4 linked regions of the Alligator mississippiensis genome follow. The protein of the gene in region 1 purifies or fractionates together with the protein of each later gene. This does not show direct contact. Links are inferred from orthologs where the notes say so. Each region holds a gene or a part of one and is shown on either strand. Other genes may lie near its edges. The genes, in order: CNOT1, TOB1, CAPZA1 and CAPZA2.

Region 1 (7,756 bases):
TGTATGGAAGCTTATCAAACATCTCTCCCAGGTATACAGTTGGTCCAATAGAAGAGATTAAAAAAACCCTTTCCTTAGAATCAGTAAGGCCAAATTTTTCAGAAGTTCTGTGCCACTGGCTAGAGGGTCAAAGAAGATTTGAAGGCAAAGTGGATTCTCCAAGCTCACTGGTTGCCCCCAAGTGTTCCAAACAAATATTGCAAGTGTGGCTGCAGCCAAGGAACACTAGGCAAGAAGCCTGCCTAGTAGGTAAAGCAAGGAATAGAGAGAGGTGAGATGTGGATCTCTGAGCAAGACTGGTTTGGGAAATGAGGAATCCAGTGAAACAACTGCATCTACTTGGTTTCAAACAGTTCCTTTAAAACAGCAGTAGGCAACATTTTTTCAACAGTGGGTCAGAATGACCCAGCTCAGGTCCAAGGCAGCTGTGCACTAAGACCCAGTAGCCACTGCTGCTGCTTTCCCTGCTGTTTGGGCCTAGTACATCACAAGTGAAGCTTCCAGCAGCCCAACTACTGTGCCACAGTGCAGGTAAAGCCCTGTGGGCCATAGGTTGCCAACTCCTGATTTCAATCATTATACTAAAGGCAGAAGAAGGTTTATTGGATGCTCAACTATTCTCCAACTGGTCTTACAACAACCAGGTTGTCCCTTCTGCTTTTTAGGAAAGCTTTGCAGATCAAGCAGTGCAAAATGGAGCATCAGTTATGTCAGGCGATTTATATTATCGGGCTACGTTGGCGCCCTCCACTTCCAAGTCAACCTCCTCTCCATAGGGTGACTATCACTTCAAAAGGGGAGGGTGGGACACATGCCTACCTTCCTCCTCCCTCTGCTAGCACTACTAGACCAGAGCCAAGTGGAGCAGGGGGAGGATGCAGACTGCCTGCTGAGGGCTCCAGGCTCCCTGCCCTGCTACCTTTCCCTCAGGAGCCCCACACTGGACAAGTGCCTCCTGCCTGCCCGGCAGCAGCAGGGGACATAACTCCATGCTGCTGCTGCCACCCCCACTGCTGCTGGGCAGGCAAGGGGCGCATCCCCATGACTAGCGCAGTGTACCTGGGGGCAGGGCATCAGGTTGGGGAGCCCCGAACCCACAGTGAGCAGCCTGCATCCACCCCCACCCCATGCACGAGTCTGGGGGGTATGTGCCCCCCACCCATGTCTTTCAGCTCAACAATTTCATGTAGCAATTAAAAATGTAAAAGCCAATAGGAAATTCCCCCTTTCCCATCCTCAAATAGCTCTTACAGATTCATAGACATTAGGGCTGGAAGGCACCTTGAAGATCATGAAGTCCAGCCCTCTGCCCCAGGAGCAGGAAGTCAGCTAGGATCAAAGGATCCCAGCATGATAAGCATCCAAACGTTTCTTGAATGAGTCCAGAGTAGGTGCCTGCACCACTTCTGGAGGGAGTCTATTCCAGGCCTTGGGGGCTCGGACAGTAAAGAAGTTTTTCCTTGTCCAGCCTAAAACAGTCATGGAGGAGTTTATTGGTCCTTGCTATCTTTTGGGGTGCTCTGGTGAACAGACGTTCCCCCAGATCCTGATGCACATCCCTTACGTATTTATAGGCAACCACAAGATCACCCCTGAGCCTGCACTTTTCTAGGATGAAGAGTCTCATGGCTCTCAGCCTCTTATCATAAGGCCTATTCTCTTGCCCTCTGATCATGCGCGTGGCTCTCTTCTGGACTCTCTCAAGCTTCTTGGCATCCTTCTTGAATGCTGGAGCCCAGAATTGGATGCAGTACTCCAGCTGCAGCCTTGCCAAGGCCAAGTAGATTCATAGATTCATAGATTGTAGAGTCGGAAGGGACCACAATGGATCATCGTGTCCGACTCCCTGCCCCTGGCAGGAAAGAGGACTGAGGTCAGATGACCCCAGCCAGGTGACTATCTAGCCTCTTCTTGAAGACCTCCAAGCTAGGTGATAGCACCACCTCTCTTGGAAGCCCATTCCAGATCCTGGCCACCCTTTCTATGAAAAATGTCTTCCTAATATCTAACCTAAATCCACTCTCAACTAGTTTACACCCATTATTCCTAGTCACTCCCTGGGGCGCCTTAGTAAACAGCGCTTCCCCTATTCCCCGTTGACCTCCCCTAATAAATTTATAGGCGGCCACAAGATCTCCCCTCAGCCATCTCTTGTGAAGGCTGAAGAGATTCAGCTCTCTCAACCTCCCCCCGTACTGTCTATCACGAAGGTCACTAACCATGCGAGTGGCCCTCCTCTGGACCCTCTCCAGATTCCCCATGTCCCTCTTGAAGTGCGGCACCCAAAACTGGACACAGTACTCCAACTGCGGCCTGACCAGTGCCACATAGAGGGGAGCATCACCTCCTTTGTTCTATTAGTCATGCACGTGCTAATGCACGACAAGGTGCGACTGGCCTTGTTGATGGCCTCGTTACACTGTACAGCGGGAGGATGACATCCTGAGATTTACTTGAGAAGCATCTATGGATGCAAGCCAGAGTTTTATTTGCTTTACCAGCTGCAACATCACATTGGTGGCTCATGCTCATCTGTGGTCAGTCATGACTCCCAAGTCTCTTTCAGCTGTGGTGCTAGCAAGCGTAGCACTGCTGAGCCTATAAGTGTACTGCGGGTTTTTTTTCCTTGCCCCGAGGTGAAGTGCCTTGCATTTTTCGGTATTGAACATCCTCAGGTTTATATCCTCCCACTTACTAAGCTTATCCAAGTCAGCCTGGATCACTAGCTGGTCCTCAGGTGTGGACACTATGCCCCAAAGTTTAGTGTCATCAGTGAACTTGGCCAGTGTGCTTCTGACACCAATGTCCACATCGTTGATAACAATGTTAGAGAACCAGTCCAAGGACAGAGCCTTGGGGGACACCACTGGTCATGGAGCACCATAATGATTCACTTCCATCAACTACTATTCTCTGGGTCCCAGACATCTGACTGTGGTGTAGCCGAGACCGCAATAGTCCAATTTTTCTATGAGATCATGGGACACCAGATCAAACGCTTTTTTAAAGTCCAGATATATGACATCAATCTCTTCTCCCTTGTCCAGGTGATATGTCACTTGGTCATAGAAAGAGATGAGATTGGTCAGGTAAGACCTACCCATGACAAACCCATGCTGGCTGTCCCTCAGGCTGTTGCCATCAGCCAGCTTATCAAGGGTCTCTTGTTAAACCTTAGATGTTTGAACAATTTTTTCTATGCCATGAGCACACTGAGCAAGGAAATCATGAAGGAACATTCCCTCCCAACACAATAGTTTGTCAAGTGTTAGCCTGGTGCCACCGTACCACCTGCTTTACTTCACTCCCTCATTGAATTTAATAGTACTGTCACCCTCAAGGCCTACATCAGAGCCCTGATTCATGCTGCCATGTTCCTACCTGTCCCTATGTTATTTTGTTACAGGGCTGATTCCAAATACATACTGCATTTAGATTGAGCACCTCACCTTTTGCCCTCCAGGCATTTAAAAATGGAAAGAAAAGGGAGCTGTATGGGAAACCACAGAATCCCAGAGAAGCAGGGCTGGAAGGGAGCTCCAGAGGTCACCTAGTCCAACCTCCTGCCTGAGGCAGGATCATCTCTCTCCTGTTAAGGGGGCTGAGTTAGGTTTACACCACCTGCTTTGTTGGCTGCAGGATATCTTAAATGCCCTGCTGCTTTTCAGGTGTACTTTCAGAGTGGCATTTTCCAGCCCAAAGCAATGGGTAGGATGTCTGGCTCACTCAGCTCCACACCTGGCAGATCCGACACTGATGCCTGGGTAGGCCTGTTGCCACCTTTCAGAAACCGGGTGATGAACGGGGCTGGCATAATCCTGAAAGTCATTTGGTTCAAGCCCCTGCCCGAGCCAGCCCCGCGTTAGTCGCTCTGCTCACGTCCAGGGACGGAACAGAGAGCAAGGCAGCAGCACACGGAGGACCTGGGCTGGCGAGCTGGGCCGCTTTGCTGCCACGTGGGACGTCGAGGGGGCGTCTCCAAACCTCCAACCTGGGCCGCTGGCAGCGCAGCCCGCACAAGGCAGCCGGGCGAGCCGAGGTCACGTGATGGAAAAAGGCGGGGGAGATTGTACCACGGGGTGTGGGGAGACGCGCATGCGCCATGCCACTGTGAGACATCTGAGTGGGACTAATGGGGCAGTGAGAGGACGACGGGTTGTACCACTGCACAACGCTGGAGGGCGGACTGTACCACTGTAATCCAGGAAGAGGCAGGCCATGTGCACAGGCGTCGGACTGTACCACTGGGCAGCAGGGAAGGGTCTGAGTGGAGCGTGAGTCGGTGCTGCCCCTGGCGGGGGGGAGGGAGCTGACAGCCCCTTCCAGCCCCTGCTGTCACCGACGCCCAGCTCAGCCAAACTCCGCTATCATTAGCCGGTACTGCGCACTCAGTTTCCTACTCCGCCGGCCAACCAGCCTCGTTTACGCAGGCGCTAAGGGTTAAAGTCCTTCCTTGCTGAGAGCTGTTTCGTGATTGGCTAGAGGGACGGAAGGCGTGGTGAACCTTCCCAGCCAATCCGAGCCCGCCGCTAACTCCGGGGTGGGGAGGGGGAGGAAATGTGTGTTGGACTTCCTTCCCCCCCCCCCACTTAAGCAGCGCCCTTCTCTGATTGGACGGATTCCGGGCGCGAGGGCGCTAGCTCTGTGCGGCGATTGGGCGGGCTCGGCGTACACAGGCGGAGGGGCCCCGCCCGCTGCGTGCCGCGAGGGGACGGGGGAGGGGAAAGGCCGCGACGTGAGCGCGCGACCCCGCCGCCATTTTGTATTGAGCCAGCGGAGGCGAGCGGCGGACACAGGCAGCGCGAGAGGCTGAGCAGAGCCCGCTCCAGCCCCGGCCCCGCCCGCCCCCGCGCCTCAGGTGAGCGGCCGGCCGCGGAGGCAGGGGCCGCGGGGCGGCACAGGTCGGGGGCTGCAGGCCTAGTGTAGTAACACCTAGGCGGGACCCGGCGGGAGCCGATCGCGGGCGGGCGGGGCCGGGCCGGGCCGGGCCGGGCGCGTCCCGTGGAGGGAGCGTGGCGTAGGGGCCGGCGCAGAGCTTCCCGCAGGGGGAGCCCCAGGCTCAGGCCCTGAGGCCCGGCAGTTTCCGGGGTCAGCAGCGTGCGAGACTGCGCAGGCTGGTCTCTTCGCTGCTGTCTGGGCGGGCTCTGGCGGGGAGGGGAGTGAGTCCAGGGCCGTCCCGCCGCCTGCAGGCGCCAGGGAGAGTCCCGGAGCGGCTCGGGCTCCTTTCCCCCGCTGTCCTGCCGCGCGCGCGGCCTGCGTGCGGGCCGGGGGCCCGAGAGTGCCGAGCGGGTTGAATCCGGGCCCCGATGAGTGACCCCTGGCGGAGAGCCTCGAGGCAGCGCGACGTGTGCCCGCTTCTCCACGGATCCACTCGTGGCATCGAAGTATGCCGGACTGGCGCTAGTTGGCCATTTGGTTCAAAGGTCCCGGTTTTCTGCTTGTGTTTTCTTGTTTAAAAAAACAAACCTGAAAAGCAATTTTGAATAGGGGTTTTCTGTACACTTTAAGTATATGCATCATTTTCTTGTGGTAAGCTTTAGCTTTGTGGAGCGTGGAGGGGGAAGCGTTCAGTATACAAAACAGCAGGTCACTGGGGAAAAAATACATTGGGCAAAACTTGCTCTAAGTAGTCAAACAAATCTAGTTCATTCTTAATTGACACCTGAACCCTTAGCATTTCATTTTCCTTTTTCCTCTTTAAGCCCTTTCCTGAAGACTAAACTTTTGTGGATCACAAGTTACTTTTCCCTTTAAAAGATCTTAGCATTCTGGACATGTTAACTTTGACTCCTGTGCAAGCAAATTGTGGGCTATTACATGGTAACTTATAGTCCAGAGTTTAGAAGACAGGGTTGAAGCCATATCTCAGCCTGTTGAAAAAACAAATAAATACCTAAACAGTGGATTTGGTTGTTAAACGAGACTAATCTGAAGATGTGGCCCTAGTTATCCAGAAAACCAGAAATGGCAGCACCATGCACCTGGACTTCTAAATTTGTCACCCAGTTGAAAATGTGGAAAGAAGTTGCGTAATTCCAAGACTTGCTTATTTCGGAACTTCGTAGGATCTTCTTAAATGTAGTTTTATTTTATATGTGTATTTATAATTCCAGGCTCTTCTTTCTCTAGGCCTTGGCATAAAGCAGGGACTATTAACCAACAGCTTGTCTAAGGTTTGGTTGTGTTAATAACTACAGTAGGAATGAGCAGATCTTAAACTTATTTAACAGGTACAAAAGCTGATGCTTGTGTGACATAAAACATGCACTTTAAAATGTAGAAGTGTCAAGTTTTGTCTCTTTAGACACTATCTAGTCTGAGCTCTGCTCTTAAGGAGTATGGTAGGAAGCACGACAACTCAACAACAGCTGTCAGTATCTTTTGATTCCTGTTTCCAAGGTAACTACAGTATCTTGGATTGATGAAACTTGAAGCAAAATTAGTCCAGATGAAGTAATTAGCTTGTGAACAGGAAGTCAACTTCGTTACATAGAAATATGCTTTTCATCCTCCCTCCTGGACATTTATTGGGTGCTGTCCTCAACTTCTGTGTGCATACGCTTCTACAACTGACCCCCTTTCATTGCCAGAGCACTTGTTTTGATCTCCCTGTATCTTTCTTGGGAGGGAGACTTGCTTCATTCTTTCAGAGAGTAATTGATTTAAAATTTCTCATCTGGGAATGAAATGCTAACATGGCTATTCTTATGTTTCAGGCATAAGAATAGGTAGTGTTAAATAAAGCAGAGTAAGATTACCTTGCTGCTATTGAGGGGAAAAATGTAGTAAAACCTTGTGATGTAATGACTAGTTATCAGTAAACCCATAATGCTGGGAAAACCAGAATGGAGAAATGTAGTTTTACCTCAGTGCTCGGGTTTGTTTCTATATGCAGTTAACATTGAAGGTTATATTGTTGTTATGGAGGTTTTCCTTTAAGCCATGTTATAACATTTATTGCCAACACTTGGAAAAAACACTAGAGCTAAAAAAATAGAAGTTCTCTTTCCTGGCCTCTTAAAGATGGGTTTATGATTCCCTTACTGACTATGGTAATCGGAAGAAACTTTAAAACTTTTGTTTGACTGAAATGAAAACAGGTAGTGGATTTATCCTGGAATTCTTTATTGTGTCACATTTTCAAAAACTTGAAACTACCAAAAAGTTTCTTTGCCATGATGTATTCCAAGAAAAGCAGCTAGAGAATGAGGCTGACTAGCTGTGATTGACTTCTAACAAAAAATGCAAGGTAGTTGTGTTTAGAGAGAGCTTGTGGCTGAAATGTAACCCCCCCACCCTGCACTTACATGTTGACTGCTGAAACTGTACTTGTTAAATAGCTTGGGGGGCGGGGGGGGATGGGACATAACAGATTTTTAGCACTTATTTTAAGTGAGTGCTCTCATGCAAGTTGAGTTAGCTCAATTGTTTATCTGTATAGTTGTAATGTAAAATAAATCTGTCATTCTAGAAAATCCAGATAATTTGGTTCCGGTTAACTGAGATTGTTGTGACTTGCTAACCTGTAAACAATATTTGGTTCAAATCCAAGATGCCAGTAAAATTAATCAATAACTTAGGTCAAGTGATGACAGTTCAGGTATGCAGTTTTGCTTACCCATAAATTTTAAAAGCAATAATAGTTTTACAGTGTAACTTTCATGCAGGTATGTGTCAGAGCTTTGTTTAAAGTATTCTAATGTGAATGTTAGCTAAAATGTGTGAAGTAGTCTCCTACACATGAAAGGAAGTCAAG
Region 2 (7,557 bases), on another chromosome or scaffold:
TGGTCCCTTTTCACCGATTTGGTATGAAACCTCAAATGGGTCAATCCAAACACTAAGATCCTGAGGCAAGTTGCCACGAACATCATCAATGTCCAAGCCACTTTCTTTGGATGCTTGTTCTATGACTGGGTCCACTTTCTCCCCTATATGTATACATCTAAACCCTGATCCTTTGTATGGCTTTTCTGGATACCAGTGCCCTTCATACTTCTTCTTAAGAAGTCTTTCAAGCTCTTCACCAAAAATGTTGACACGCCGCCTGGGAAGCTTATTGTACAAATACGAGATAATAAAATTGAGTGCTACTTGGATTTCAAGCTGCATAGCTGCTATGCCACAAAGTTATAAGTCTGTTGCAAAACCCAAAGAAAACGAGTGTTCAAGATGCCACAGGGAAACACAATTTCATCCGAAGTGCTGATTCTAGTTGAGTATTATCCTTCACACCTTGAGTGTTCTTGTTCCTTTAAGAAAAAACAAAAGCAAACATATCCAAATAAGGCGAGTGTCATTTCAAGCTCCAAGGCCTATTCTTTTAGCCTCTGGTGGTACCAGAAGAGATTATTTCTCAACTACAGACATTTCCAACATATTGCTTTTCAACAGATCCGTTACAGCCACCAAAGTCAAATACGTTCTGCCTAAATTCCAAACAATATTGTGGGGGACGCATCGGGAGGTGTTTATGGGTACGGCATGGGGCACTTCAAAATGATTTGAGCTTGCAGCTCAGCCCCCCCCAAGTTATTCGCAAAGCAGCAAATATGTTTCCTAGGACATCATGCCAGTGCCAGGCCTGTCAGGGGTTCAATTACTAGCCCCTATTCTGGGTGATTTATAGAACTCAGCTGCAAAATTTAGCACCAACCTGTTAATTTAGCATAAAAGGTCGTAGCCTGAGTGTCATTTCTCATTTTAAAGTATGCAAACATATCACTTGGGCTTTAAAGTGGCAGAGACATATAGATAATTAGATATACAGATCTAGATATTTATTTATATATCCGTACCTATATAGATATCTATACACCCACACACACACATATATATATGTGCATGTACATAAATAATAGGTCTTATTAATATATTAATATAGGTATAAAATACCTATTGGCTAATGTAGACGCTTCCCAGCACTTATGTAATTTCAGGGTGTCACATTTATCTTTCCAAATCAAAGCCAGGCGTCTGCAGCCACTGTGCATTTGGGGAGAATTATGCAAACCGAAAAGAAAATGTCTACCACACGTATACCAGAAATGTTTCCCCTTCCTTCTGGAACAATCACGTTTTAATCCAAACGAGGCATGCCCAATATAGACAGGAGTGTTTTCTGTTTTAACCCTGGTGAGCAATCACGGTTAAATGAGCCGTTCCACTGTAATGGTGGAACATTTTCCCCGTGTTTTATAACATGCTGCTTCAGCGCACAGATCTCGAGTCTAGATCCTACCCACTAGCGAAAGGCAGGTTTTAAAACCCCCGTAAACCTATCTGGGCAGGGAAGGGGGGAGGGGGGGGGCAAAGAGGGGGAGGGGGTCAAGCCTTCCGCCCCTCTGCCCAATTGACAGTATGTATAAAATGGAGTCATGGAGCCCACAAAGTTAACCCTGACACGCCTCGCGACAGAAAACCCTGCAATGCCTTCACCCGATTTTTTTTGCAATTGCAAGGGAGATGGGTAGAAAGAGATGTTTTACTGCGTTTTGATTCAGGGGAAACTGGGTGCCCTGCAAAAACACCCACCCCCAAAGAAACCCCCCCGCATTTCCAGATCTCAGGGCACAGCCCCCTTGCAGCGCTCACCCCTCTCCAAAGAAAAGCCCCAAATTTCCAAAGCCCCCTTGCAGAGCCCCAAAGAAACCCCCCAAATTTCCAAAGCCCCCTTGCAGAGCCCCAAAGAAACCCCCCAAATTTCCAAAGCCCCCTTGCAGAGCCCCAAAGAAACCCCCCAAATTTCCAAAGCCCCCTTTGCAGAGCCCCCCCCCGCTCTAAATTTGCAAATCCCAAGGCAAAGCCCCCTTGCAGAGCCCACCCCGGCTGGACAAAGTTTGCAGCCCCAAAGCTGCCACCTCTCCAGGTTTGCTGGGGCTGCGGGAGGGGGAGCAGGGAGGGAAGATCAAGGGCAAACCGGGGGTGCTCCTTGCACCCCCTTTTCCTTCCGGCAGGGGCAAAAAACAATAATAAATAAATTAAAAAAACCATTAACCCCCCCCCATAAAAAATAATTTAAAACCATGCAGACTACTTTGAAACCATAAAAATTAAATTTTAAAAGCCATTAAAAAAAATCATGAAGAATCAATTTTAGAAAGCATAAAGAATATATTTTTTAATCATAAAAATGTTTAGAAAGCATTAAAACAATGTTAAAAAAATAATAAAAAAAATTTTTTTTTATAAAGCATAAAGACCATTAAAAAAAAAAAAACGCACATTAAAAATACCATTAAAAAAAAAATCCTTCACTATCATTAAAACTGATGATGTAACTTAACCCCTTATAAAAACGATTTAAAAGAATGGAAATGCCATTTAAAAAAACCTTATCAAACCAAAAAATAATGGAAAATGCCATTTAAAAACCTTATAAAAGCAATGACTCAATGAAATTCAAGCAGAAAGAGAAAACATCCTTCTCAAAAAGCATGAAAATATCATTTAAAAAAAACAAACCAAACAAAACAAAAAATTAGAAATCATTAAAAGATCATTTTTAAATGATTAAAAAAAAAAAAAAAAAGAACAAAACCCAATTTTACAGAAATGATCAAGCCACCATTCAACGCCCCGCCCCGCCCCCCGGCGCCCCCTCAGCGGGGAGTTACATAAGAGGCAGTTGGGGGTCGCGGGCGGGCGGGCGGGTGGACGGGGGCACCTCGCTCCCTCCCTCCCTCACTCACCGGGGCCGTGCGCAGTCCCTGTGCTCAGCACCGCGCCGCCATGGCCGCTGCCCGCTGCGCGCCGCCCGCCGCCGGCCCGGGGCTGCACGGCTGTGTCCGCCCGGGCTCGCCCGCCGCAGCTGCGCTCCAGGCCCCGCCGCCGCGCGATATATCGCCTCCCTTGCCCCGCCCCCAGCACGGGGACGCGCGTCACGCGCCCCGCCCCTCGGTGGCGTCAGGCGCTGACGTCAAAGGGCCCGTCACCGCGCAGAGACTACATCTCCCAGGTGCCCCGGGAACGCTCGCCCCGCCCCCGGCTGCTCAAGGGCAAAGAGGAGCCGCCCCGCCCCGCCCCGCCCCGCCCCTCTGTAGCGCAGGGAGGGCGAGGCAGGCTCCCGCTGCGGGCAGGGCAGGGGCAGCGGTGACAGCGAGCCACGTAGAGCAGGGCTGAGATAGGAGCAGGAGGAGGCAGAAGCCGGCTCCCTAGAGCCATGTGCAAGAGGGACGGAGCTGGACACTGCACTGTGCACCGAGGGGGCACCCGCACCCGCAGCAGATTTAGGGGGAGACTGGAATGACATGAGCCTGTGTTGCCCCCCCGCCCCTTCCTTTTTTCTTTTTTTTTTTTTTTTTGCAGCTAAAAATATTACCCACAGGTAGCAACGATGACCGATTGGCTACGTCCCCTCCTTAGTAACCATCCGATTGGTCATTCGGTATCTAAGAGGACTACGTCAAGCTCCAGTTTGGGGGGGAAAAAAAGTTAAAGGGGGGGTGGGAGAAAGAGAGACAGAAAAGAGCCGTGAATGGAGCAGCCGTCTCCTCCCTTCCCGGCTCAGCAGCGTTGGAGGGGCGCAGCGTGGAAAACCCCCAGCCGCAGTGAGCCAGGGAAGCCGCACAGCGCTCGTTAAGGAAGTTCAACAGCAACTAACCTCAGAGGAGAGGCTTGCCCTAGAGAGGACAGAAGTGGGGGCCAAGTTGCTTGTAAAGAGTTTAGTACGACGGGCCCCGGATCCTCATTGGAGTCTTTGGGCGCCGTCCCTGATACAAGCAATACGATAAGAAGACTGACTTGTTCAAACCAATGTGGAAAAGGACTCGTGTTAGGTATCCAGGTGGTAGCCGTATCGGTCTAGAGGAAAAAGCAATCCGGGCTCGTGGACAGAAGGAATATCTCTCATTAGATCAACAAGATTTTTGCAAAGAATGTTGTGTTTTTTTTTTGCAAAAATCTTGTTGGTGTCATAAAAGAGATCCCCTCTGTCCACGAGCCCTGATTGCTAAATGTGAGAGACGCACGGTTTCAGACTAGGCACTAACACAAGGAAAAATACCCCCTAAAAAAGTCAGTCGCGTGTAAGGGAGAATGCGGCATCACAAACTTTACGCCTCGGAGTAGTCAGGGCGGGTTCTCTCGTTCCCGTATAAATCAGGAGTGCCGTCACTTAATTCAGGAGATTCACGTCAGATTAAAATCAGCATAGGCAAGTAAAACCACAGCATGCAGTTTATTAAAATGTTAATCCCTTGTTTCGCTTTTTTACTGTCACTTGCGTGTATTACTGTTAGGCTCTGTTTCACTTTTAAGCTCGAGTTTTATGGCTATCTCAAACATCACAAGAAGTGAGGAGCAGGATCAAGCTTTAGAAAACAAATTTATAAGCAAAAACTTTTTCTTTTCTTCTTTGCGTTTGTATAACAATAAAGCACCTTGGCACAAAGCTGCATGGGCCCCAGGAGAGATTTGGAAATACCAGTCGGAGGAGACACCAGGATGCTTAACCCTTTGGCAGCTAAAATACACAGGTTATCATGCAAGCAGTCTAGAAATAATCTAGGATTTACAGGAGAAAAGGATTTTCCACTAATGACAATTTGTTGCATATGGAAACTTACACTCTTTATATGTAACGATACCAAAGTGTGCTGCATTATTTTACTAAAAAGTATTGGTCTTGATTTTATTAGGACTCTAGCATTGCTAACACCACTGATTTAAAATCATGATTCAGATACAAAAAAAAGGGAAAAAGGAGATTCGGGGGAGCAGGATCCAGACCTGGTCAGAAAGGAATGTAGTTTTGGGGGAGATTGGCAATTATTTCACATTAGCTGTTAAAGGCAGTTTTTAAAATAATGACAAAGCATTTTTAGGTGAAAAGACAAGACTATGGTTAAGTTAAAGCCTTAGAAGTCTACTTGGTGCAAAAAACCCCAACTGAATGAATTGTTGTTAGAACAAGATTGCCAGGTGTCATTCCCTCGTGTCACCTTGCTAAGGGTCCTGGAGTCAGAGGAGATGGACGTAGGATCTCTCTGTCCTCTTTTGAAGTGAGAAAATGCTAGACAGCTCCATAGATCAAGCACCAAAAATGGCTGTTTTCAGGTCCAGTGATGAAGACAAAGGATTTGGGAGGTTGGAATCAGAATTAAAGCTATTAATGCTGTCCCGAACTCTGATTTCATTTTTTTTCCTTCAACTTATTGGACTTAGGAAATAGCGTTAAAATTCTGAAAAATTGCAATGCTTTTTCAAGGAAACTTCTTCCTTTAAATGACTCTAAATATAAAAAAAAAAAAAAAGATTAAATACACAAGGCAAATACATTTGGAATAAAGGCAGTTGTTGGATCCTTAACTCTTTTCTGTCTCTAGGGTGGGAGATGAACATTTGTATAATTTACTTAAAGGAAACCGTTCATGTAGTAAAGCTGATTATTTTCTACAGGAAAAAAATCAAACACAATGCTTTGGGATAGGCAGTCCAAGAACGGGCCATAATTCTAGCCCCAACCTATATGATGGGTCATCAGCTACAGCAAGAGTGAAATACTCTTCTTAAAATCCAAAATAAGTCTTGACATTGTTCATCATTACTCAGATAAGAGAGTTCTGAATGTTGTTCATTGTGATTATATCGTCTACATCTAGTACAAAACGAGGTGACCGCAATGCCTTAAAGATACTTTACTAGAACCTCAAAATATACAGGAGCTAGTCCAGGTTTGCAGAGCGAAAACCTCAGTGGAGTCCAGACTCAGTTTTAGATGCACCTGGACTGGAACTGTGTGTACAAAACCTTTTCTATATTTTGATTAATTTGCAACAGCAAGAAAAATAAAACAACTTCATCAATAACCCCATTATACCTAATGAGCTGGGGAAATCTTTAAAAATGTAATCAATACAACATGATGAGCCCAGCAGTAATGCTTCACCCCTATGGCCATGATTATCCAAAAGGAAGATTGCTAACCTTCAGAGAAAAAAAACAGACACAACTTCTGCTCTCTAGTAAAGCCCAGCTCACCCTCCCTCCTAGCAAACCAATGCAAAACAAGCTAGTTCAAACCATAGTGGGGAGGAAGGAAAGAGAGACAAAGGATTCAGGCAAGGTCTTTTTGCCCAGGCAGCAGTTCCCTCTGTAAACCAAATACTCTGTGAAGGATGCCTCCTTGGCCAGCAGCAGAAGCTGCGCCAATGGACTCGAATGCTAAATGTGTGAGTGTCTATACTACGCCTTCAACTAAAGAACCAGCCTCTGTTAATTAGGGTTGCAAAAAATTGACCTCCCCTGTGGATTAGTCAGACAGTGACACATGCTACGTGCTGTCCAACTGGCTATAGCTGCATGGGGAGGGAGGTGCTGCCAAAAGGCAAGACCTAAGCTATGCAACAATGAAGTCTGAGCCTTTATGTAATATACTTACCAAAAGCAGCAGTAAAGGAAGCTGAAGGAACCCCAGTGAAATAATATGGTATCTCACAAAGCCAAGTCAATACACAACTAGGCCCAATTTTCCATGGCCTTCTATCTTGCGTAGTCAATCTTTTGTGAAAAGTTGGGGCAACATGCTAACAATCAGAATGGTAACAATTTACACCCACTCTGTACACAGAGATGTATTTACAGTGCACAAGGAAGGGGAGAATCGGCCACACAACATACATCGACCTTAATCCTGAATGTGAATTTAAAATCCAGGCTGCAATGAGCACATTTTCAATAGCACGGCTTCGCTGGACAAACTTTGGTGAGGTTTTTGGGGTTTTTTTGCTCGTGTTTTGTCAATAAAAGACAAGATTGTTGAGATGTACTAACATCACTTGCGTTGTTCAGGAAAACCTCTCTATTCAGGACTACCTTTAAACATGTCCTTAACTTAAAATCAGTGGGACTTAAGGCAAATGTATGGCTTTGCCTGAATGGGGTTGGCTACATTCCTGCTTTTCACCGTTCCAGCATGGTTATTTTTTTGCATGTCACTCAATCTCCTGCTATATAGGCTGGTCAGATATAGGCCCCGGTCCTGCAGTCAGATTGCTGCAGGGGGACCTCTCTTCTGATATGAAGCCCCGTTGGCTCTAAGAGGGCACAGGGCTTCATCCACATGCACTCATTTGCAAGACACGGGCACTTGCTGCTTTCAAGTCATTTATTCATTTTCTGATCCTCCTGCCCTAGCCCAATGACATTTGCCTTTGCATAATACAGCAAAGGAATGCATCTGTTCAGAATATGCATAGCCACCTATTGGTTTTTCCCCAAACCCATCTGAAATGGTGCCTAAAATAATTGGTAAGACACTTTTCAACATAAAATATTAATTTTAAAATGTAATATTAAATGCTCAGAAATACACGCATTCCAAATTTAAATTTAAAAGATTAAAGT
Region 3 (7,629 bases), on another chromosome or scaffold:
CACTTGGGTTTTGAAAGGACTTTGGTGACTTCACAGATAGAAGAGCACAGCAAGCTGAAAGACAAGAACTAAGATAGCTAACAGAGGACGCTGCCCCAAAATACAGCTAGCATTTCAGCTGTCGTTTCACAGCCTGGTGAGGTCCAATAATTACAACACTTCAAGAAATCTTTAGAAGTTAGAAGTCTAGCACTCCAGCTATGGCACGGAAGGCTTTCAGAAGCTGCACAGTTACTGAATGAGAAATGGCCTTTAGAAAGACCACACACATTTAATTCCAAAACAGTCAGTACTACTCTGATGCAAGTTTCTACTAAGTCTCAACAAGTTTGCTAATGAAAAAAGGAACATGGTCTTGTCCAGCACGCCATCAGCCACTGGGAACTAACAGTAAGGGCAACTGGATCCCACATCCAAAAACCACTGCAACAAAGAGCATGCCAAAAGTGAATGTGTTTAGGTCACATAGTGCAGTCACTGATTTACACCCCCTGCCTTTATTTACCCATTTCCAGTGCAACAGAAGAGCGGTCCTCTGTGCTTCTATGCTGTCTTTCAGACTGCTACTCAGGAGCAAACATACTTTTCTAAACCCTAATCCAGTCCTGCAGGGAAGCTGCAACTGGGAGAAAGCTAGAGGCAGACAGCTCCACTAAGGGGAGACCTGTGTCACACCCACCACCTGTTTAGCACTGGGACTCAACAACTACCGTCAGGCTGCATTTGAAGCTGCAGGTTGAAAATAGCCTTGAGAAAATCTGATTTAAATAGCCAACAGCTGGGATTGGCAAGAAGGGTCACTTTACCTTCAAAAAAAACAAGGGGAGAAATACACCTGAAGGAAAAGAGACAAGTCTCAATTGTTGATAAAAGAGATAAGGTTGGAAAAAGACTAAGAAAAAAAATGCTATTCTAGACACTGGTGCTGTTATAGTAACAGCATAGCTCTTCCAGCTCCAATCAACTCTTGTATTCAGCTTCTGATCAAAACGCTGAAGCATCAGTTCCTCACCATCAGCTAATGTTTTAAAAGCAAGGAAACAAGTCCCTGAAAAGAGAAATTGTCTGCTGCGTTGCAAACAGGCAGAACTGCAGCAGCACAAACTCCAGCATCTCAAATAAAGAGGCAACAGTCCTGGGAGGAGCTTATTTGACTTTCACTGGAAAGTCACACACCTGCATCAGAGTTCATAGTGGCAAAAGATGTCCTGCAAAAATAACAGCTCTTTCACACCTCTGAAGAGACACTGTCCTCTGGGCTAAAAACCCAACCGCGTTGTCTACTGTGGAAGTGACCTCTCTGAGAGGAGGCAGAACAGGGAACGCTAAGCAGCAGGCCCAGGTGCTAATTAATGAACCCCTGTCCCATTAAAGAGGGGAAGGAGAGGCAGCTGATGACAATAAACCTGAAGCCTCACGAGCTCAGCCACAAGCACGGCCATCCAGGGTCCCTTCAATTTTTAATGACACTTGTGACTACTGCAAAGTCACGAAACCCTTGTCCTTTGCTAGACCTTCACCTAGAAAACTCCTGCATCGTCCCTTTTTCGCTGCACCGTTCTAAACGCTAATCGGGATGGGTGTCGTGCTTCCTACACCTCAGAGACTCCTACATGCTTCGGAAACAACCTATCGAGGCAATTTTAAACGTGTCTGCAGGCAATAAAGCAGACTAGGAGCATGGTGGTGGGGTGCCGTACAGCATTTAGTTTTTCCAATAACCCCCAGTACCAGGTGACACCCCAAGCCAAGCTGAAACCACGGGTGCTGGGAAGCCAGCACACTCAGCCTGTACGTGGTTGTGGCCAATGACGTTATGTACAGATTCACAAAGACAATCTACCGTGGCTCAAATAAACCCGAAAGCAGGCCTGGGGGACGTTTCCAGTTCCACGCGCAATATGGACACGCGGCAGAGACAGATCTGCCCCCCCAATACGTGCAGGATCGGTGGGGTGAGCTCGAAAGCAGCCGGCAGTAAGTCCATACACACGTGCCACCCCGTAACCGCAGGAGGCCCTTTGAACGGTGAGACGTGTGGTTTCAGAAACACGTGGGGTGACTATCAGAGAGAACTGTGTGGCTGTCGTCTATAGATATGAAACCGTTACGCCCTCTATTTTTCTCTTAAAATAAAGGGCTCAGAGGTGTCGGGTTTTGTATCAACAGAGCAGAAGAAAACCAGAATGTCCTTTAGGATGGCCACCCTGGAAACGCAGCAAATCCCTCTTTTTGGGGGGCTGCCCCAGCCTCTCCTAAGATCCAAGGGAACCACCTGCCTGGCACGCTCATCGTGATATTTCGTACGTGTTTTTGGAAACCAGCACGGGACAAAGCAGGACCCCGTGAACGCTGCCAAGCCTGGCATTCGAGGGGCCTGTCCCCAAAACCTCGTCTCGGCCCTGCATGAAGAGCGAACCCCGGTCCTTTGCGCGGGCCGCCCCTGCGAGTGCACGGCACCCATGCGGGGAGGAGGGGGACGCGGGTGCCCCCATGCCAGCTCTCTGGGAGGCGTCGGGGCCCTGCCCCGCTCCCCCCCTCCTGGGGGCCCACAGCCCTCACCGGCCGCCAGCCTGTCCCGCAGCGCGTAGAGCAGCGCGGGGGCGGCCAGCAGCGCCAGCCCCGCCGCCCCCCGCCGCAGCCGCCGCCGACACCGCGCCTCCCCGCCGCCGACACCGCCGCTCTCCGCCATGGCCCAGCCGGGAACCCTGGGAGAGGGAGAGAGAGAGGGAGAGGGCGGGGGCACGGCAGCCGGAGCCAGCCGCAGCCCGGCCAGCGCCTCCATAGGCAGCGCCGCAATCAGCGCGAGCCCCGCCGGCTGCACGTGGCCGCCTCGCACCGCGCCGGCACGAGCCCCCGGGCAGCACTCCTCTCCCTGCACACACGTGCGGGCTGCACCCTGCCCCCAGCAGCCCCCGCCCCAGCTGCTTCATCCCAGAGCAAGCTGTCCCCACCCCGTCCAAACACCTCCAGGCATGGGGAGTCACCCCCTCTCTGGGGGCTTTACTACCCTCCTCATCTCCCAGCTCAGCTTCCCCTGCTGCAGCTGGAGCCCATTGCCCCTGTGCTGCAGCACTGCACAAAAGGGAGGGATACACCCTTCCCCTTGAGAGGCGCACTTAGTGTAACCCCTGCTCCAAGCAGGACCAGCCCCAGCGACTTCATCTTAGGCAAAACTGCGTCCACCCCTGTTTTAAACACCCCCAAGGGGAGCTTTACAACCCTCCTGCTGAGAAACTGGTTCCTCATCTCCCAGCTCAGCTTCCCCTGCTGCAGCTGGAGCCCATTGCCCCTGTGATGCAGCACTGCACAAAAGGGAGGGTTGCATCCTGCCCCAGGGGAGTCCCACCCCTGAGCCAAGCAGGACCAGCCCCAGCTACATCACCCCAGACAAAGCTGCGTCCACCCCGGTTTTCAACACCTGCAAGGGTGGAGATTTACCCCCTGCCTGGGGACCTTTACGGCCCTCCTGCTGGGGACGTGGTTCCTTATGTCTAAGCTCAGCTTCCCCCGCTGCAGCCGGAGCCCGTGGCCCCGCGTGCTGCCGTCTGCCCCATGGAGAGCAGTCACATCATCACACAAAAATGAGGGTTGGATCCTTCTCCTTGGGAGTCGCACGCAGTCCCACCCCTGCTGCAGGCAGAGCCGGCCCCAGCTACGTCGTCCCACACAAAGCCGTGTCTACCCGGGTGGTAAACCCCTCCAGGGATGGAGACTCACCACCGCTCTGGGGGGCCTGTCCCGTGCTTCACCACCTCGGAGCGAGGGAGTTTTCCCTAATATCCAACCTCAACCTCCCTTGCTGCAACGTGAGCCCGTTGCTCCTTGTGCGGTCGTCCGTCCCCACCGAGGCCAGGGCAGCTCCATCCTCCTGCTATCTAGTCCCCTCAGTCTTCCCTTCTGCAGTCTGAACACGCCCATTCCCCTCGGCCTGTCCTCAGCACCCGCAGCGGTCGCAAGCGCCACGAGCAAGCGGCGCTGGGCCGGCGGCACCCACCCTGGGCAGGGCCTGGGCCTGTGCTGCACCGCTCGGGGGGGGCGCGTGGCCCCGTGGGTTTGCTGCCGTCCCCCTGCCCGGGTCGGGAGCAGAGCCCAGTCACGGCTGCGCCCGACAGTGCCTGGGGCTGTCGCTTTGCCCACTCTGCAGAGGGCACTGGCCGGCCTGAGAGGCGCCCCTGGGCCCCGCCTGGCAGGTCCGGCCCTCGCTGCACGTTACATTCATGGCACGGTTGGTGAAGGAATAACTGCCGCCTTGTCCTTCTCCCAAGAGAGAGGCTAGCAATAGGGCAGCCAGGCTGCGTCTGGTTCCATGCGGGCGGGGGCAGCGCGTTTACATGGGCTACTACTTCGGAGCCATACAAGCACACTTAGCTCCCCTCAGCTGCCCACCCCCAAGATGGCGGGGGCGGCTTCCTCGCGCCTCAGCAATGCCCTTCACCAAGATGGCGCCTCACATTCCACTTCCCCCACACATACAGCTGCCCACTCCCAAAATGGCGGCGGCGGCTTCCTTGCTCCTCAGCAATGCCCTCCACCAAAATGGCGCCTCACATGCCCTTCCCCCACACAGCTGCCCACTCCCAAGATGGCGAGGGCAGCTTCACCAAGGTGGGGAGAGTATCCGGTTCCGGCAACGCTGCGGTTCCCGGCGTGCTCGGCGCGGCGGCGGCCGTGGAGTCAAGATGGCGGACTTGGAGGATCGGGTGTCGGATGAGGAGAAGGTAGGGCGGTCTCGGGGGTTTCCCTCTTGCGCCCGCATCGCTAGTGGCGGGGGCTTGTCGCGGGGCCGGGCCCCTCTCCGCTCCTGTGGCACCAGCTCCCCAAAAAATAGATATAAAACCAACGAAGGAATCAATCCAGTGCCTCGGCCGGGAGCACGAGCAGCCTCAGGCAGCGCTAGAAGCGGCCCCGAGACTAGGTTTGACCCGTTGTCAACACCACTGGTCTTTCATTTCAGCAAGCAGCGCGCTACAAACACCAGCCCCTGCCCAGGTGCGGCGGACGGGGTCTCTGGCTTCATGCTGGGGACGTCCCCCCAAACCCAACGCAAGAGGCGAGCACTTTTCTTGGTCTGCAAGCTTGTTTCTTCGTCCCCAGCCGAGCAAAGACCCCGCCAGCCGCACCTGGGCTTGGTGCACGGCTCCCTGGCTGGATGGATCACACACTGCCACAGTCCCACTGACGCGAAAGGCAAGCGAGCGACGCAAGGGGAGGCCTCTAGCCTGTTTCGGCCTCGCTTCCAGCTCTCCTGGATATCCCGGCCGAACCGTTGGCAAGCCAAAGAGCCCCTCCTGCATTTCAGATGTGAAATGCAGCGTCTGGCCTGGTCCCAGCTCTGCAGTCGGGTGCGAGGCTCCCCCGCTTGCTGCCGCAATGAAAGATGGGTTGAAATCTCGCCCCTTTTCAAACCAGCTCAAAGCCCTTCAGCTCGCCGGAGGGTGCTCCCGATGGTCCCGCGTCGAGCCCCTTGAGGTCCCTTTCAGCCCTCACCTTGTCCGATTATTTGGTTTGTTTCCTGTCGCTCTTACCAGGGCCCTGAGTTGTATGTATTTGTTTAGTCCTTCGTTCGTTTATTTTAAAAACGCCCTGGGATTGTTTTCGTCAATGGGAGGAACAAGTGGTTGCACAGGAGAAACATCAACGCTCGAGTAGCCCTAGAGGGTTGTCTGTCTCACGCAAACAGATAGGGGGAAGAAATCTCTGTTTTAAATAAATAATCGAGCATTACTTCTACTGGTAAAATAAAAATAGCTTTTGGGGGAGGAGGGGTTGCGTCTTAAATGAGGCTTTTTAAGTCACGATTCTTTCTAAACTCATTAGCGTCACTAGACAAGGAAAGGATGGTTTGCTCTGCTGTTCCTCAGTGGCTTTACTGTACAGGCAATATTACAGATGAGAAGACTGGCAACTAATAGAAGTAAATGTCAGAGATGCTTTCAGGTCTTGTGTTGCGTGGATTTGATTTTGCCAAGCCAGCAGAAAGAAGCAGCCGCAGTCTTCTGCTTTCACTCCGTTTCCTCATCGGGCCGTTCTTTTTTTAAACCTAGCTTAACAGCTGATTCGGTAGGTTTGCCTAGCATACCTAGGCCCCAACTCTGCGTTTCGCTGCATGCAAGTTTACCTCTGAAGGTCCGTAACTATCTCTTCCAGTGATGTTTCTGAGTCACTGATAATCAGTGACTTAAATGTAGGCAGACAGCAACCTCTAGTCCAGCACCTGTTCACTTCATTAATGCAGAATTAAGTCAGTAGTGGGATATAGTGGTATGATTTAACCAGATTGTTTTGAAACATGATTACCTACTTTTTTTAATGAAGACTACAATATAAAATGTTGATAATGAAGTAGAACGGACAGAATTTGGTCGCTGTGGCATAAAATAGATACCAGTAGTGGGTTATTTTACAGCAGAAGCAAAATCCTCTTCAAAATAATGACTTGGAATGCACAAAAGGATCTGTCATTGAAACTGGTCTTTGGGCTGAAACGCCCTAGATTTCATTACGAGTCAGTAGTGCGGGGGGGGGGGGGACACTTGAATTATTAAAAAAAACAGAAGTGATGTAGCCCGTTTCCTCACTGCTGTGGTTTGGTTTCAGCCTGAGTTAGAGTGGGGGGCCTGGATTCTAACACATGGCCTCAGCAAAACAACCAGGCCTAGGTTATTGCATCTCCAAACTCGGGTTGCCATTGGAGGGGATAAAGGCTAAATTAGTTTCTTACCTTGAATAAGCACTGCTCTGGCTGTTGTGAACTATTTCTACACAAACACTGTTTGCAGCTGCCATTTTGCCTGCTTAAACTAGCAAGTGGTTAGCTTCCCTACTAGATGCTTTCCCCATTTCAGAAAAAGGAAGTGCATTTCTGCCACAACCCTGCAGAGGCACTTGAAATGGTAATGATGAGGCAGGAAGTAGGTCAGGTCCTGTTTTCTTAGTTCTGCAGACATGCGTGCTGCCAGGGTGCCAGCACCCAAAGGCAAAGGTACTCTAGAATGACAGTAGTTTGACAGCTTGGTATGCAGGGCTACTTTGCTGTGTATGAGGGGGGCTTCCTTCACATTGAGCTGGATGATAGCTGTATTTAGTGGTTTAAGGTAACCATTTAGTGGTTTAAGGTAACCAAGTCTCATACCCTGGAAGGAGCAAGAGGGTAGGGAAATTATACTTAACAAAAATAGCCCGTTCCCCTAGCTCATTGCTGCTGGTTTTCAGATATGGACATGGCACTTCCTGCCTTGCACATATAATTTCACCTGTCTTGCTAAAGTAGCAGAAGGTGGTGGCACATGGGCGTATGTAGGAGTGGCCTTTTATAATTCCCTGAAACATCTGAGTCTCAGCCTTGATCTTTTAGGAAGCAACCTTTTGTACACAGAGCAGATTGAAAGAAGGTTGGATATATTAAAAAAGAAAAGAAAGTTGGAGAGAGAAAGTTACAAGTATAATGGTATTTCTTTAGCAAGGCACCTTTCACAATCCACATAATGGCCATATAATTTTCCTTGTTGCACATCACTATATAAATATGCATGTGGCTTAGTTATTGTCATGGCAGCTCTCCTGTTGGGAACTTCCCCATCAGAATGGATCTGGGTGTCTTTTAAGTGAAGCTGTCTGTACTCAGAG
Region 4 (7,620 bases), on another chromosome or scaffold:
GGGCCGATCACGAGGTGGCCGATCAATCACTGCGGCCTCTTCTGGGAGTGTCACTCCCCAGCTGGCACTTGCAGGGTGGGCACTGGAACTCCTGCCTGCCCCCTGCCCTTCATCTAAGTGGTGAGTGTGGCTGGTCAGGGGGTGCACCAGCGCTCTCAGGGGGTGCACATGCACCCCTGTGCATCCCCTACACATCGCCACTGCATGCTCCCATATAGGCTGGAGTAAACTAATTTACTCTGCAGCAGGATAGTACTAGAAAAAAACTCCACAGCAGTGGAAAGACTCTACACTTGCTGGCTGGGGCATGAGGGTGCTTCAGCATGGGAGCTGCCTGCCAGCTAGCTCTGCACTGAAGCAGCTTTGTGCCCCAGCCAGCCCTTCCACAGTAGGCTGAGCACAGGGGAGCAGCAGTCCTGGGCTGGCAGGCTAATCCCTTGGATCCCCTGCCAGACAGGGCTGTTCCAACCCAGTTCAACATGCTGTGGTCCTGGGTGAATGTTCAAATGGCAATAAACTCCATAGTTTATTGCTTTGCATTACTTACATGTGTAGATATGCCCTGTGATTCTGAATTGTCTATGATTCTATAAACCACATGGGAGTCTAATATAAAACCTGTCAATTCCCATCCTTGTAGCAGAAGGAGTACGCATCAACTTTAGCATTCCAATCATATGATCCACCTCACCACATTTTAGTAAAAATATGAAAACCATTTCATATTTCTTTTCACATTTGAACATCTCCAACTCCTCTTATAACCTAAGTTCCTAGTATTAATACATAGATAAAATACATGTTCCTTACCTATTCATGTGCGCTCAGATTTCCTGTGTGATACTTTGGGGCTTATTTACACATTTGAATGGTTTCATTCCTGTTTAGTGTTAGTTTAAAGCTCTGCCAGCTAGTCTACTTAGTTTATCACTCAAGTTATTGGTAGCCCCATTACTGAGGTGGAAGACATCAGAATAATGCAATCCCCCCTTTTTCCATACTAAGCACCTCAATATTCCTCTCTCACTGTAATGTTCCACAAGACAAAATCTTCCTCATGCTACTTACCTGACCACTTATTCACTGCCAGCATCCTTGCTGCTGAGGTGAAACTGTACCTCTATGGGTGGGTCTACATGAGACACCATGTTGTTGTAATGATGAGCTACTGTGCAGTAGCTTGTTGCTACAGCACAGTAGTGTCAGAAATGACCCGTGCAGTGTCAGGATTGCGCAGTAACATTGGTTACTACGCAGTCATTTAGTACTTGCTCAAGCAAGTACTAAACTGTGCAGAAACAACTGTGCAATCCAGCGCACATGTAGACGCATGCTGTATGAAGGAAAGCCTCCAAACTCCCTCCCACAAACTCCCAAGGAAATTCTACTCCTTGAAACTTGAAGAAGCCATTTTCAAGGTGGTGTGGCAGTAAGGTGCATGGTTGATAGCCCAGAGGTTGCACGTTCTAGATTATAGCAGAAGTGTTCACAGAGCAGCCATGTCACATCCCAATGAGTCTGTGAGTTCTGGTAAATACCTTGTCACAGGGACATGGGAAGGCAAGGAGGACCCCAGAAACTCCATTCTCTCCCATAAGCAGCAGTATGTGCTTGCATGCCTTAGACATATTGCTGAGTGGGTGTCTGAAAATCTGGGCATTTTTAACTGCGTGTCTGCCCACATGAATTTTCAGTGAGCATGTTTAAATGACTAATTTTACTACTGAAATGAAGAAGGTAAGAATTGCACAGAATTGCACATGGAAACATCAAAATCAAAATGTTTAATTCTGAAAATGCTGACTGGTCTGTAGCACTCAGCCTCACACTACAGCCCTTTTGCCCCCTACAAACCAGACTGATGCCGCTTGCAATATATTCTGACACTCGAGTAGGAGCTATAGATTATTGCTGACCCAACAACAGGAGTAAGTGAAGCCCAATATGTTTCAGTTATTTGTGTATAACCCAGAGCTACTAACATTTGCTTCATGGCATTCCTGCAATTACCAAAACCTGAGTTCAATCTGTCTGAAAGTATGAGGAGCTCATTCTTGCTGATAACAGTGCAGGGAAAAGTTCAATTGGGATTTCTGGGGGAAAAAAAGTAAAGAGGAGATGCTTATCCCAGCCTGGGAAAGGCTTTGTTAGTTGTGTGTCCACCCATTGCTAAAGGGCATTCTGATTCCATCCTTGGTGTGCCATGCACTTCTCATTTGTGCAAGACAGGCTAACGATTGTTTAGTAGGAAAGCCAACCACTCTCCTTCTAGCCTCTCTCTCTATGTATGCCTCTCTTTGTGTTGATAGATGTATGATAATTATATATTAATAGAGTAAATTTAACCCTGGTGTGAGGTCTGATAGATTGCTGCAAATGTGGCCAAAATGTACAGTAATTCAGACTGATCCAAAGAGTGTGAATCATAGAATACTAATCAAAGGAAAGTTGGGCTAGAAGAGACCTCCACAGGTCACATCTAGTCCAATCCCCTGCCTGAGACCATTCCTATGCAAACCATTGAATACAAATCCATACTCTAATCTCTTAGTAAAACTTCTGTCAACCCTGACACACAAGTGCTTACGTTTCAATATCTATTTAATATTGGATCAATTTTCCATCTTCAGATGAGCTTAAATTGTATCCTCCCTCACGTGTGCGGACTTACTCAGAATAGTGTTATTCATGCAATGGTGCTTCTAAAGGTGAGCATGCAGCAGCCTGGACTCTGAAGTAGAATTTGAATGAGACACTTGTGTGCCAGGAGAGGCAGCGAAGAAAATACTATTTACAGTGACACGGTCACATGTTAAGGACAAAAAATATTCAGGAACATGAACATCTTGTGCCTCCTGTGGCTGGGAGGGACATGGCGACCGCCCGCAGGTGGCAGCCGCGGTGGCAGGGATGCAACAGCAGTGAGCAGGGACCGTCCACAGGCAGCCGTGGTGATGTTGGTGGTGAGGGTGGGCCGAGCAGGGACCATCTACAGGAGGCCATGGTGGTGTCGGTGGCAAAGGGGGAATGGTGAGAGCCAGTGGCAATCAGCAACTGTCCGCAAATGCCACTGGCAGTGGAGGGGGGGGGACAGGGGTAGCAAGTGGTGGCCACTCGCAGGCACCGCCTGCAGCATCGGTGGTGGCCTCTCAGTGGGGTGCACATGCACCTGCATGCACCCCTTACACATCATCAATGTTCAGGAACACAGGAGTGGAAAGGGACTCATGGGCCATCAAGCCCAGTCCCTGACAATGATTGCATGCCCTTGCAATCCCTCAAAAAACCACTTGAACCTCATGTTTCAGGGGTGTACTTGGTAGCCGTGTTGGTCTGAGACAAAAAGACATACAAAAAACTAGAACTCTTGGTTCCAAGAATTCTTGAACCAATTCTTGGAACCAAGAGCTCTAGTTTTGTGTATGTCTTTGAGGTCTCATGCACATTTGTGCACTGCTAAATGACAGCAGTGTCCTAGGGAGTGTTGAGGTGCTGTTGTTGCTGTGATGATGAAGGAAAACAGCCAGAGGCTGCAAGTCTTGGGTAGCAGGATCATACAAAGCGAGGGTTGGAAAGGGCCTCAGGTCATCTAGTGCTAGTCTAACCCCTGCTCAAAGCAGGACCATCCCCAACCAGATCCTCCCAGCCAAGGCTTTGTCTAGCTGGGTCTGAACAACCTCCAAGGATGGACAGTTCGGAACCTCTCTGGGCAACCTGTTTCAGTGCTTTACTACCGCCCCGAGAGTTTTTTCCTAATATCTAACCTAAACTCCCCTTCCTGCAACTTGAGCCCGTTGCTCTGTGTTCTGCTACCTGCCACCACTGACAACAGTCTAGCTCCATCCTCTTTATAACCCCGCTTCAGGTAGTTGAAAGCTGTTATTACATCCCTCCTCAGCCACCTTCTCTCCAGATGAAATAAGCCCAGCTCCCTCAGCCTCTCCTCACAAGTCATGTGTCCCAGCCCCCTCGCCATTTTCCTTGCCCTCCACGGGTCTCTCTCCAATGTGTCTGGTATCTCAGGCTGGGCTGTCCCATCCACACTTGTTAAAACAGGACCTCTGAGGCTCTGATGGCAGTTTTCAAGCCCGGGGGCCTGTCCTTGCTCGGTCTCCCTCAGACACAACCAGGCACCCCCTGGCGCAAGCAGGTGCCCCTGGCAGCGTCCCCAGCTCCGTGTGAATCTACTCCGGGAGGTTTCGTCACAGGATGTAACGACATTAATGACTGATCTACTGTCCTGTACTCAGCAAGGCATTACTATTACATTGAAAAAACCCACTGCACTCCTGCATAAATTAGATTCAACATTTAATATTTATTTCAATTTGAAAGAATGCCCGATCTATCCCTGGCCCCTCAAGCAGTCGCCTGGAGACGTATCTATTTCCGGCACGCTCCAGGTCACCCCGTCCGCGGCCGCGAAAGGCCAACACCCCGCGGCGCCCGCGCAGGCGCAACCGGTCACAGGCCACCCCCGCCGGGGGGAGGGGCGCTGAGGCCGCCCGGCTCCATCCCGCCCCGCCCCCCAAGCCCCGCGGTGCGCATGCGCCTTCCCGCCCCGCAGTGCGCATGCGCCTTCCCGCGCCCTCCATTGGCCGGCGACGGCCCCGCCCCGCGGCGCAGGGAGCGCGCGGCTCCGCCCTGCCGCGCAGAGGGAGGCGCCCGGCGGTCGCTGCCGGACGGGAAGATGGCGGACCTGGACGAGCAGCTGTCGGACGAGGAGAAGGTGAGGCGGCCCCGCCCGGCCCCCCCCGCTGCAACCCCAGCCCGCGACGGCGCCTGGCAGTTGGCGGGGCCGGACCGGGGCCTGCGGGCGCGGGGCGGCGAGCGGCGGCCCCGGCCCGGGGACCTCTCCGCGCCGCTCCTTGTACGGTCCGAGCGCCGAAAATAGGAGCCGCCGCGGGGGAGGGGGCCTTGGGCGCTCAGCCTCGCCCTTCCGGGTCTCTGCCGCCCCGCCCCGCCCCCGGAGTCGCCAGGGGGCCCTCCCCCGGTGCTGGGTGAAGGAGCGGCCCCGGGCAGGTGAAGGGGCGCGGCCCGGGGCCGTGTGGGCAGGGCGAAGGGAAGCAACACGCTAGGAAGGGAGCTCGGTGCCCGGCTCTGGGTGCCGCCGCCCTTGCCCACAGGGCTGCTGTGGCGCGAGAGTTGCCCCGGAGATGCCCCTGGGAGGAGGGGCGGCTGCAGAGCCCGGCCGTGCCGCCGTTTCCTCCCTCTGCTCACCGCTAATGCTCCGGGACCAGGGTGTGGTGGTGGTGGTGCTGGTGTGTGTGCAGCGCGGGGATGCACTTCACCTAATTCTTCTCCTCTGGGTTTCTCCCTTTTTTTGTTTTGGATGGAAAGGTCAGTTTAGGGGGCTGCTGAACCTGTGGAGATGATTCAGATGTGAGAGAGAATAAATGAAGCTTCAGATATCTTTGACATGAGGGTGGGGGTTAACATGCCTTCATGTTCACTGTAGCCAGGGAGTCCCTCCATGTTTGCAGCACTGAGTTGCAGATCAGGGAGCTGAACGAAAAATGCTTCCAGTACTTGGTTGTTGGTTGAGAGCTCATAGCAGCAGTCTCCCAATGCCTGAAGAAGGGTGTTTGTGCCCCAAAAGCTTGCAAATAATTTTTTTTCCAACTATTAAGTTGGTCTAACAAAAAATATCACCCCTACCCTAAGACTCTTGCCTCTGTTGGAGCACCCACAGTGACCTGGGAAGAGCCTGTAAAGTGTTAGTTTGCCCTGGTAGAAGGTATTTAGTTAGTATGTCAAAGGGTAAACTAAATAAAAAATAAGCCTCAGCATTTACGCTGCTAAAAAGTATTTGCCACTATACTTATTAATACACATTGCTGCTGCTTTGCACTGACTCCAACCTATCACTTCTGCCCCCTTTTCCAGCTCATGCCACATAATGGTGTTTCTCTGAGTTTCTCTTTCCCTTGTCACCAATCTGATGAAGTTCTGGGCTTGCTTTTTTCCAAAAACATTCTGTTTTTTTCTTTTCCCAAACAAACTCTTGATTCTCCAGGCTTGTAAAATCAACATCTACACCTCAGTGCTGCAAGTGAACACTGGGCACCATTGTAGGTCTGGGGGCACCGTGGAGCTTAATGACCTGCAGGAAGCCTTCCATTTCCCAGTACTTTTTTTTTTTTCCATGGGGCATGTGTACTTGTCCCAGTTACAGTTCAAGTTGCTTTGTGGTGCTTTTTCCACACACACCTTCCCATTTGAAGTGCTAAAAGCTTAGAGCCTCCCTACTTCCTATCTTCCCCCCTTCTCCCCCCACCTGTGCTAAAAAGAAGTAGGAGCATTAGAATTGTTTTCTTTTCCCCTTCTCTTCCATCAAGAACGGAGCCATTGATTCTTTTATCCAGTTCAATCCTGCAAAAAAATTTGGATTTTCTTGTGTAGCTGGATTTTACCCAACACTGGCAGCATATATATTGGGAAATAAGACATTTGTAAGTCCTTTATACAAGACAGGCTGATGTGACTGAAGTTCTGTAACTCAGATGTTCTCAGCCTTTGCAGTGGAGATGCATCTACCATCCAGGGCATATCAAAGTGCAAAGGTGTTTGAGGTATAATCAAATATTTTCTGATTGAACTGCACTTATGCTTTCAAAAGCAAGTGTCCAAGGTGTGCTATCTTTGATGAGGAAATGTGTGCCACTTGTGAAGCTTTCATCTACGGCTATATTATCATGTTTGGATGACTGTGTTTAGGGAGGATTTAACTAAATCCACATTTGCCCCTTACACCAGGATATATGAGGGTTTTTTCCCCTTGATAAAGTTGGGAGTATATTTTTAAATCGGTAACTTGTTCAAGTAGAACTTTTCTACTGTTTGACGCACTCCCCTTAATTATCATTGTATAAATCATTCAGAAGCAGGTTCTCTTATGTGTGGAGCTCTTTAACTAAATTTCTTCTAGAACGTCTTATGTCTCTGTTGCACTTCTTAATGATGTCAGAATTTGCATTCTTTTTTCAAGCTAAAATATGGCCCAGCACAGCTTCAAACTAGTTTAGCATGCTGAGTAAATCATTGATAGAGCTGTGATTTTTGTAACAATAATTCTTAATTTACCAGCAGTTATACACATGAAGAAAAATACCCATATTTGCAGAAAAGCTACTGTCTGCTACACTTTTAAAAATAAACAATTACTCTAAGTGGTTTCCCCACTGCAGAGTAATACTTCTGAGAGTTATAATTTGGAGAACTAATGCCATCATTTTTTCCCATAGGCCAGTATCCCTTTCTGAACTACGTCTTCCCTCATGTTATGCATTATCCCCCCTAATGAAGTGGGAAGATGTAGCACAAGAGTTTTTCTTTCTCTGTTTTCCATAGTAATGGCCTTGACCACATCAGTGCCTTTAATCATAGAGATAACACAGTTCAAAAACACACCCTTTTTGCCCTCTTAAGACGGGGCCATGGGGTGGTATAGAAAGGAGAAATGTACTAACATTGGCCAGAAATAGATGGTACCAGTGGCACTCTCCTACACTGATGCAGGGCCTGTAGTAGTCGTGCTGGTGATTCTGGTGGTCTAATGGAAGAGGCAGTGTTGGCAGAACTATAGACATAATCCTAATGAGAGAACTGAAATTCAGGGAA

What was found.
Region 2: the proteins of CNOT1 (region 1) and TOB1 purify together in Homo sapiens (co-immunoprecipitation; 3 studies listed by BioGRID and IntAct, counting the BioPlex papers as one, with this or other methods). This does not show direct contact. The link is inferred for Alligator mississippiensis from reciprocal best matches to the Homo sapiens genes CNOT1 and TOB1.
Region 3: the proteins of CNOT1 (region 1) and CAPZA1 purify together in Homo sapiens (affinity purification with mass spectrometry; 3 studies listed by BioGRID and IntAct, with this or other methods). This does not show direct contact. The link is inferred for Alligator mississippiensis from reciprocal best matches to the Homo sapiens genes CNOT1 and CAPZA1.
Region 4: the proteins of CNOT1 (region 1) and CAPZA2 purify together in Homo sapiens (affinity purification with mass spectrometry; 3 studies listed by BioGRID and IntAct, counting the BioPlex papers as one, with this or other methods). This does not show direct contact. The link is inferred for Alligator mississippiensis from reciprocal best matches to the Homo sapiens genes CNOT1 and CAPZA2.

The regions. Positions count from the first base shown.
Region 1 is NC_081833.1:39,165,368-39,173,123, reverse strand, and holds the start of CNOT1 (CCR4-NOT transcription complex subunit 1), read left to right. Parts: upstream 1-4,755; 5' UTR 4,756-4,858; intron 4,859-7,756.
Region 2 is NC_081831.1:10,649,461-10,657,017, reverse strand, and holds the start of TOB1 (protein Tob1), read right to left. Parts: upstream 3,015-7,557; 5' UTR 2,904-3,014; intron 465-2,903; 5' UTR 325-464; coding exon 1-324. UniProt on the Homo sapiens protein: Anti-proliferative protein; the function is mediated by association with deadenylase subunits of the CCR4-NOT complex. Mediates CPEB3-accelerated mRNA deadenylation by binding to CPEB3 and recruiting CNOT7 which leads to target mRNA deadenylation and decay.
Region 3 is NC_081837.1:44,706,431-44,714,059, forward strand, and holds the start of CAPZA1 (F-actin-capping protein subunit alpha-1), read left to right. Parts: upstream 1-4,628; 5' UTR 4,629-4,682; coding exon 4,683-4,721; intron 4,722-7,629. Other genes in the region: ST7L (suppressor of tumorigenicity 7 protein-like), read right to left, coding at 2,563-2,692. UniProt on the Homo sapiens protein: F-actin-capping proteins bind in a Ca(2+)-independent manner to the fast growing ends of actin filaments (barbed end) thereby blocking the exchange of subunits at these ends.
Region 4 is NC_081827.1:49,190,360-49,197,979, reverse strand, and holds the start of CAPZA2 (F-actin-capping protein subunit alpha-2), read left to right. Parts: upstream 1-4,620; 5' UTR 4,621-4,690; coding exon 4,691-4,729; intron 4,730-7,620. UniProt on the Homo sapiens protein: F-actin-capping proteins bind in a Ca(2+)-independent manner to the fast growing ends of actin filaments (barbed end) thereby blocking the exchange of subunits at these ends.